Xenopus tropicalis: one gene and its partner. Each later gene encodes a partner of the first gene's protein in a complex. Links are inferred from orthologs where the notes say so. Each region holds a gene or a part of one and is shown on either strand. Other genes may lie near its edges.

Region 1 (3,912 bases):
TACAGGAAGGGGAGAGAGATTTCAGTGATGTCACTGTAGGCTTCACACTGCTGTAGGCTGCCAGCACCATATCTCAGAGAAGCAAGCAGGGATGTGGGAATTTAGATATGCAGTAAGTACTTAAAAAGAATGCCTTTAGCCTTACTTTTAATTTATATTAACCTTTCATTGTCCTTTAAAGCCTGATGCACATTTCGCTCCTTATACTCTGGAGCTTAATCAAAAAGCTTGTCCTTTTCAGATCAGCATGGGTTCACCAAGCCAAGGGTCTTTGGGTTTTAAATATTGTGTCCCAGGACTGCCATCTTGAATTGTCTTCCAATGCTCAGCATTTATTTGTCTCTTCAAACCAAGAACTCCATAGGTGATGGAAGCCTTATAGGTTATTATTCAGGATCTACTTTCAAAGAAAGTCATTATTGAAGTTCCCAGAAAGGAAATATATATGTACCTGTATATTTTGCTCAGAAGTAAGCAGAATTGAGAATTCGGGGTTAAAAAAACTGTTAAACCAGTCTCAAAAGTAAAGGCATTCAAAATGGAGACTCTTAGGTCTTAGATGTTTATCTTCATATTCCTACTGTATAGGCAAAACATACAGAAAACTCCTGAAGTTCCATGTTCTGAGAAAGCACCTTCCGTACAGATCTCTTCCGTTTGGCTTGGCAAAAATCTTAGGCTCTAGGCGCCCATTATAGCAAATCTTCTTCTTCCAGGGGTGCAGATTTTCTCATATTTAGGGTGAAGACACACTGAGCTACTAGTAGCAGCTACTTGTCACGGCTACTAAACGCCAGAAAATCCCCTGCCATAGACAATACTGAGAATTGCCTCTGCTAAAACACACATAGAGACAATTATCGGTAAATGATCAGCATTGTCTATTTTATTGGGGCAAAGACACACTGGGCTACTTAGTAGCAGCTACTTTCTCATGGCTACTAAACGCCAGAAAATCCCCTGCCATAGACAATACTGAGAATTGCCTCTGCTAAAACACACGTAGAGACAATTATCAGTAAATGATCAGCATTGTCTGTTTTAGTAGCCGTGACAAGTAGCTGCTACTAGTAGCTCTGTGTGACTTCACCACATGTTGCTGAAATCTCTATCATTAGTGTCACAACTTCAGTCCATGGGTGGGTAATAAATTGAAACAAATCTCATGGGATTCCTGCCCAGAGAATAGAGTTTCCAGGAGTAAAGGAATGGTTGACTGTAATGTGACAAGTTGGCTTGGGGCTGGTAATTCCCAGTGCTGTATAACATAGAGCGCCTATTATATTGATACCCTTGCACTCAAAGTGCCGCACATGCGCAAAGCAGCGGGTCACATGGTCCCCCCCCCCCCAGGCTGCCAGCGGCGCACAGCTCTGACGTCACGTCTCGGCGGAGGAACATGTCCGAAGCTTCCGGTCGCACGGCGGGAAACGAGATGCCGGCCAAGAAACAGAAGCTCAGCAGCGATGAGAACAGTAACCCGGAGCTGTCTGGGGATGAGAACGTAAGGAAGGGGCTTAGTGAGGCGGGAACGCAGGGCGCACTGATGCTGCCGGGGTGCTGGGGTTATTAGCGAGCAGGCTGCCGGGGGGCTTCGGGGGAAGTGGGGCTAAAGTTACCGGAGCTGGCGGAACGGTGCGGGGAGATGCTAAAGGGGCGGGGGGCAAGGCGAGTGTTGTTGGGAGGTGTGTGGGGCAGAAGGGTTAAGCGAGCGGGTAGGAAGGCAGAACAAGTTGAAGGTGCTGGGGGGCAGGCAGGGGCACCTGAGGGTGCTGGGGGGCAGGCAGGAGTGGCTGTAGGTGCTGGGGGGCAGGCAGGGGCACCTGAGGGTGCTGGGGGGCAGGCAGGAGTGGCTGTAGGTGCTGGGGGGCAGGCAGGAGTGGCTGTAGGTGCTGGGGGGCAGGCAGGAGTGGCTGTAGGTGCTGGGGGGCAGGCAGGGGCACCTGATCGTGCTGGGGCCATATACAGGAGTGGCTGTAGGTGCTGGGGGATAGGCAGGAGTGGCTGTAGGTGCTGGGGGGCAGGCAGGAGTGGCTGTAGGTGCTGGGGGGCAGGCAGGAGTGGCTGTAGGTGCTGGGGGGCAGGCAGGGGCACCTGAGGGTGCTGGGGGGATAGGCAGGAGTGGCTGTAGGTGCTGGGGGGCAGGCAGGAGTGGCTGTAGGTGCTGGGGGGCAGGCAGGAGTGGCTGTAGGTGCTGGGGGGCAGGCAGGGGCACCTGAGGGTGCTGGGGGGATAGGCAGGAGTGGCTGTAGGTGCTGGGGGGATAGGCAGGAGTGGCTGTAGGTGCTGGGGGGATAGGCAGGAGTGGCTGTAGGTGCTGGGGGGCAGGCAGGAGTGGCTGTAGGTGCTGGGGGGATAGGCAGGAGTGGCTGTAGGTGCTGGGGGGCAGGCAGGAGTGGCTGTAGGTGCTGGGGGGGGTAGGCAGGAGTGGCTGTAGGTGCTGGGGGGATAGGCAGGAGTGGCTGTAGGTGCTGGGGTCAGAGAGGATCGACTGAATGTGTTGGGGGACAGACAGGAGCGGTTAAATATGATGGAGGCAGAGAGGAGCGGCTGGGGGGGGAGGGCAGCAGCACCTGGGGGTACTGTGGGGTGGGCAGGAGTGGCTGAAGGTGCTGGGGACAAGCAAGAGGGGGCCCAATTGGGGGTGGGCAGGTGTGCCTGAAGGGGATGGGGGGGTGGAGACAGGAGAGCCTGAAGGGGATGGGGGGGGCGGGGGAGACAGGAGAGCCTGAGGGTACCGGGAGTGGGCAGAAGTGGCCGAAGGTGATGGGGGGCAGGAGAGCCTGAGGGTACTGGGAGTGGGCAGAAGTGGCTGAAGGTGATGGGGGGGGGGGGGGCAGGAGAGCCTGAGGGTACTGGGAGTGGGCAGAAGTGGCTGAAGGTGATGGGGGGGGGCAGGAGAGCCTGAGGGTACTGGGAGTGGGCAGAAGTGGCTGAAGGTGATGGGGGGGCAGGAGAGCCTGAGCGTACCGGGAGTGGGCAGAAGTGGCCGAAGGTGATGGGGGGCAGGAGAGCCTGAGGGTACTGGGAGTGGGCAGAAGTGGCTGAAGGTGATGGGGGGGGGGGGGCAGGAGAGCCTGAGGGTACTGGGAGTGGGCAGAAGTGGCTGAAGGTGATGGGGGGGGGGGGGCAGGAGAGCCTGAGGGTACTGGGAGTGGGCAGAAGTGGCTGAAGGTGATGAGGGGGGGCAGGAGAGCCTGAGGGTACTGGGAGTGGGCAGAAGTGGCTGAAGGTGATGGGGGGGGGGGGGGGGCAGGAGAGCCTGAGGGTACTGGGAGTGGGCAGAAGTGGCTGAAGGTGATGGGGGGGGGGGGGCAGGAGAGCCTGAGGGTACTGGGAGTGGGCAGAAGTGGCTGAAGGTGTTGGGGGGGGGGGGGGGGGCAAGAGAGCCTGAGGGTACTGGAGACATGAGTGGCTGGAAGTTTTGGGGCAGACATGAGTGGCAGGGAGTGTTGGGGGGGTTTACAGAAGTGATAGGAATGCTATCAGGTGGAAGTGGCACAAAGCTGGGTTGGGAGCTGGCAAGGGGGCTGGGTGGGGAAGGGATCAGATGGTGTTGGGAAGTAAGCTGGGGTTGTTACAGAAGGGACAGAGGTGGCAGTAATATTACATAAGTGGCGGCAGGAGGGAATAAACAAGTGAGGAAGAGTTGGGAAAAGGCTTATGGGTATGGGGAACATACAGACTGAGTTGCTGTGGGAGCCAGAGGTAAAGGTGTAAGGCTGCAAGCAGAGGGAGAGGGGGAGCAGCGGGTACAGAGATGTTACACAAGTCACTGCAGTGGGGGGAAAGCCGGGGAGCCACTTGGCTCATAGTAATGTAATATTGTCATGTGGTATTGTTTAGTAACTAATGTGCCGTGCCTTGGAATAGTACAGCTAGTGTTTTAGGGGTTAATGAATTCTTGACATG
Region 2 (3,746 bases), on another chromosome or scaffold:
TAGTTTTATTTTTAGCAGAAATTTTATATAGTAAATTTGTTTCACACACAATAAGGTGATTGGTTTAGTTATTTGAACAAAGTTTCAAAATGTTTTCACACTATCAGTTCTTTTGTTTCACTTTATACATGCGCTCCCTTCACACTTTTCTGGACACGCTTGAGACCCGGTCAAAGGGGTTATATTCGTAAGAGGAGCAGCAGTATCACAGCCATTACAGCACTTCACTGGAACTTTATCTAAAGCGCTGAGGACCGTGGTATGTTTCATACCTTTGTACATCCATAATCATTGTTAGTGGTGTATACATACATATATACAGGTATGGGATCTGTTAACCGGAAACCCATTATTTAGAAAGCTCCAAATTATGGAAAGCCCATGTCCCATAGACTCCATTATAAGCAAATTATTCTAATTTTTTAAAATTATTTCCCTTTCTCTGTACTATGAAAACAGTACCTTGTACTTGATCCCAACTAAGATATAATTAATCCTATTTGAGGCAAAACAATCCTATTGGGTTTAATTAATGTTAAAATTATTTTTAGTATACTTAAGATACAGAGATCCAAATTACGGAAAGATCCCATATCCGGAAAGCTCCCGAGCATTCTGGATAACAGGTCCCATACCTGTATAGCAAAAAATATTCCATGACTGGCACACCCTATAAAATTGTCACAAGGTTAATGCGACCATCTTATATAAAAAATCTGACGTTTCGGTCCTCAACAGGACCTTTCATATTTATTGCTAAATAATTAAATTTGGCTGCACACCCCACAAGATACAAGGTTTTTTGCATTGGAGTGCAGACACTGCAGAGACTGATATCTACATATGTCATAGAATACCAATGTTTACTAAACTATAAGCTTATTTTAATGTTGACTTTTTCATAGAATGTATGATGAAAACCAATACATTAATCCATCCACATTAGTCAGTCAGCATTTCCTTACAGTACACTACACCACCAAACCATCAACATTTCCCTGTCCCCCACACTTCAGTCCATCAATGTCTACCCCCTATTTTCCACCAGCTTTCTGTCTGCTACTTACTCCCTTCCTGCTTGGTGGCATGCCCACCAGTTCTTTATTCCTCTCTGAGATATGCCTGCTTGCTTATTCTCCCTCCCTGCTAGTTGACATGGCATTCCCATTCCCCCACTTGAACTTCCTGCCCTTCTTACCTACTCACGTGGCTGCCTATTCCCTTACTGCTCAATGCTACTCCATGACAGCCAACTCTTTGGTCACATACCGGACTGCTTCTTCCATCATTCCTATTCAGTGACATGGCAGCCTGCTCCCTCCAACTTTTTTACTAATTCACTAGTTCTTCCTGGTCTATGAAACCAGGGCCTGTATATTCCCATTTAACCCTGTTACGCATTCCAGGACATGTCTGTGTGTAGTTTTTGTGTGTAGGATTGGCTGTGAGGGTGAAACAAGTGATTTCCATATAGAGAAGTGGCCTAAACATAATGATCAGTGTAACTAAGGAACAATGAGCCTAATGTTTTTGACAAGTGCATGCCTACCATTTGTGATAAAATTTGAACCCAGAAAAAAATTGTAGCAACAGAATAGTCAGAATTAATGGCCAGCAAAGAGTTCTTTTCACAACAGTACAGTTTTATGGAGTCCTGTGTCAGACTGATGTGTCAGTTCCCATGTGCCCACCAGGACATTTTAGACAACGGGTCCACACTTTAAAAGTTATTCTTTTCTCTGTAATTGCTTCCTTTCTTCATTTATTCTTATAAATAGTCCTTCTTCAATGATGCCTTGTTTTTTCTTGCTTGGGTTTTCTCTTTTCTATCCCTCTTCTGTTACTTTGTTCTCAGTTCTTTTTTAGTCTTTGTCATATGCTCCTTCTTTTACTCTTTTCCTTCAACCTCTTCTCATTTGTTAATTTCCTCCTCATTTGCTCCATTTTTTCTCTTTCCTACATTAAGGGGGAAATTCACTGGTAGCAGTATAAAAGAGCAAATGGTTGAGCGAACAAGAGATGCCTGGCAATATCAGGAGTTTTTCTGGCATCCATTCCCAATGCATTCAAAGGGGATGGGAAAGAAGAAAATGGAAAGAGACAACAACAAACAGCATCATCACAAGGTGCAGTGACAAAGTACATGAAACAACCAAATTTCGAAGACATTATATAATGTCAGTCTCTCGTTCAATACCAACATATTTCAGGGCATCAGCTTGGCTGTATCTGAAAAACAAATCAGATAGAAAAAAAACACTGCTTAAACAGACGTTACGAACCAGTATTATCCATAACACAGAAACCCACTAGAAAACCTGTATACTGGTGATGTGTGCCACCCTAACTTGCCCCTTGTCAATCAGGCCCAACCTGGCCTGCTGTTGAGAAGAGACTTGAAGACCAAAGCCTAACCCACCCTCTTAGCTAATGTCAGAGGTGACATCAAAGAGACTAGCTAGGTGAAGCCCAGCCTCAGCATGCAAATAAAAAGTTGTGTGTGCTTTAGCTGAGCAGTGATAACCCCCACTCAAAGTCATGGTCCATTTTCCAGACCAAATCCACCCAATCTGCAGCTACAATATCAAATATCAAACATCAATAAACTGTACATTTCATTCCATTAAATCTAGCACCATCTTACCTGTAATCAAAGAACAATTCTTCTCCTGCTTGTATGGTTCTTTTAGCAAAGATTCCAATCCGATGGTCTCCATTCACCATTACCACTTAAATGGTAACAAAATTTGTATTTAGTTGTATAACAGATTGCTATCTACTTGTTGCCTCAATGACCAAAATAAGTACTGAGCTTTTCTGAAAGCAATAGAGGTGGAGGTCTCCAGTTTAAAAAAGGTAAATTATAAATGAACAGGACTCACTATAAAGAGGGCAGTCAGATTTGACCAAGTGAATCCTTACTAACTTCTAGCTCACATGCTGACCCTGCCTTATTTCATTGCAAATCTCTAATTCCCTAATACGTCAGGGCATACTATGTATTCAGCTCTAAACCTACATTTGGATAAATCAGCCCCTATGTGTCAGATCTCTGTATTATTGTAAAGCTTTGCATAAATTGCTGTTGCTATATAAATACATGATTACAAAACAATAAGCTGAGACAGAAGTGTCACTATTTTTCAATAACCAGCATGGGATGCCCTCAGTTTTACATTACCTTTTGCATAACAATTGGGATGAACAGAGTGATTTGCAAATCTGATTTTGTTTCCTTTACGTGTAGCATCAACAACAAAATCTAAAGAGAAAGCATTAAAAAGAAAATATAAGAAGTGAAGCACAAGGTGTGATACCAAGATTACTTTCCAGGTGCTGCATTATTAGATGCTTATTGCCAGCTGTAACATTTAGACTGACCCAATTTTAACTGAAAATATATATACACCACAGGGTTAGGTCTGTACCATGTAAGGGCTCATTTAAGAATACCCTAACTAAGTGCTGAATGACTAAGGAACATAAAATAACTGATTTACCATTGTTGAGGTTAAAGAGAAAACTGGACATATATTTGTCATAAACTTTTCCTCTTCGATCTGCTTCGTCTTGAGAGATCAGCTAAAAATATAATAAGTAGATAATACATAAATACCGAGCAAGAAAACTACCAGATTTTTATAAAAACCCACATTTTTTTGTCATCTGAACATCTTACTAGCATCTCATGTACTAATTTGTCCACAGCCCCAATAATGTTGCAAGGGATACACTGAAGGGCATAT

What was found.
Region 2: the proteins of eed (region 1) and ezh1 are in contact, whole or in part, in a cryo-EM structure (PDB 7KTP), measured with the Homo sapiens proteins. The link is inferred for Xenopus tropicalis from reciprocal best matches to the Homo sapiens genes EED and EZH1. Residues at the interface, in NP_003788.2 of Homo sapiens: Cys84, Val85, Asn86, Ser87, Leu88, Lys89, Glu90, Asp91, Trp103, His104, Ser105, Lys106, Glu107, Val112, Arg120, Leu123, Tyr124, Gln129, Gly130, Glu131, Ile132, Arg133, Leu134, Leu135, Gln136, Ser137, Tyr138, Val139, Asp140, Tyr154; in NP_001982.2 of Homo sapiens: Gly37, Ala38, Lys39, Leu41, Tyr42, Val43, Asn45, Phe46, Lys48, Val49, Gln50, Lys52, Thr53, Gln54, Leu56, Asn57, Glu59, Trp60, Leu63, Arg64, Val65, Gln66, Pro67, Val68, Gln69, Ser70, Met71, Cys83, Thr84, Ile85.

The regions. Positions count from the first base shown.
Region 1 is NC_030678.2:168,824,196-168,828,107, reverse strand, and holds the start of eed (polycomb protein eed), read left to right. Parts: upstream 1-1,316; 5' UTR 1,317-1,399; coding exon 1,400-1,504; intron 1,505-3,912. UniProt on the Homo sapiens protein: Polycomb group (PcG) protein. Component of the PRC2/EED-EZH2 complex, which methylates 'Lys-9' and 'Lys-27' of histone H3, leading to transcriptional repression of the affected target gene.
Region 2 is NC_030686.2:22,264,970-22,268,715, reverse strand, and holds the end of ezh1 (histone-lysine N-methyltransferase EZH1), read right to left. Parts: intron 3,583-3,746; coding exon 3,501-3,582; intron 3,263-3,500; coding exon 3,182-3,262; intron 2,730-3,181; coding exon 2,645-2,729; intron 2,230-2,644; coding exon 2,169-2,229; 3' UTR 698-2,168; downstream 1-697.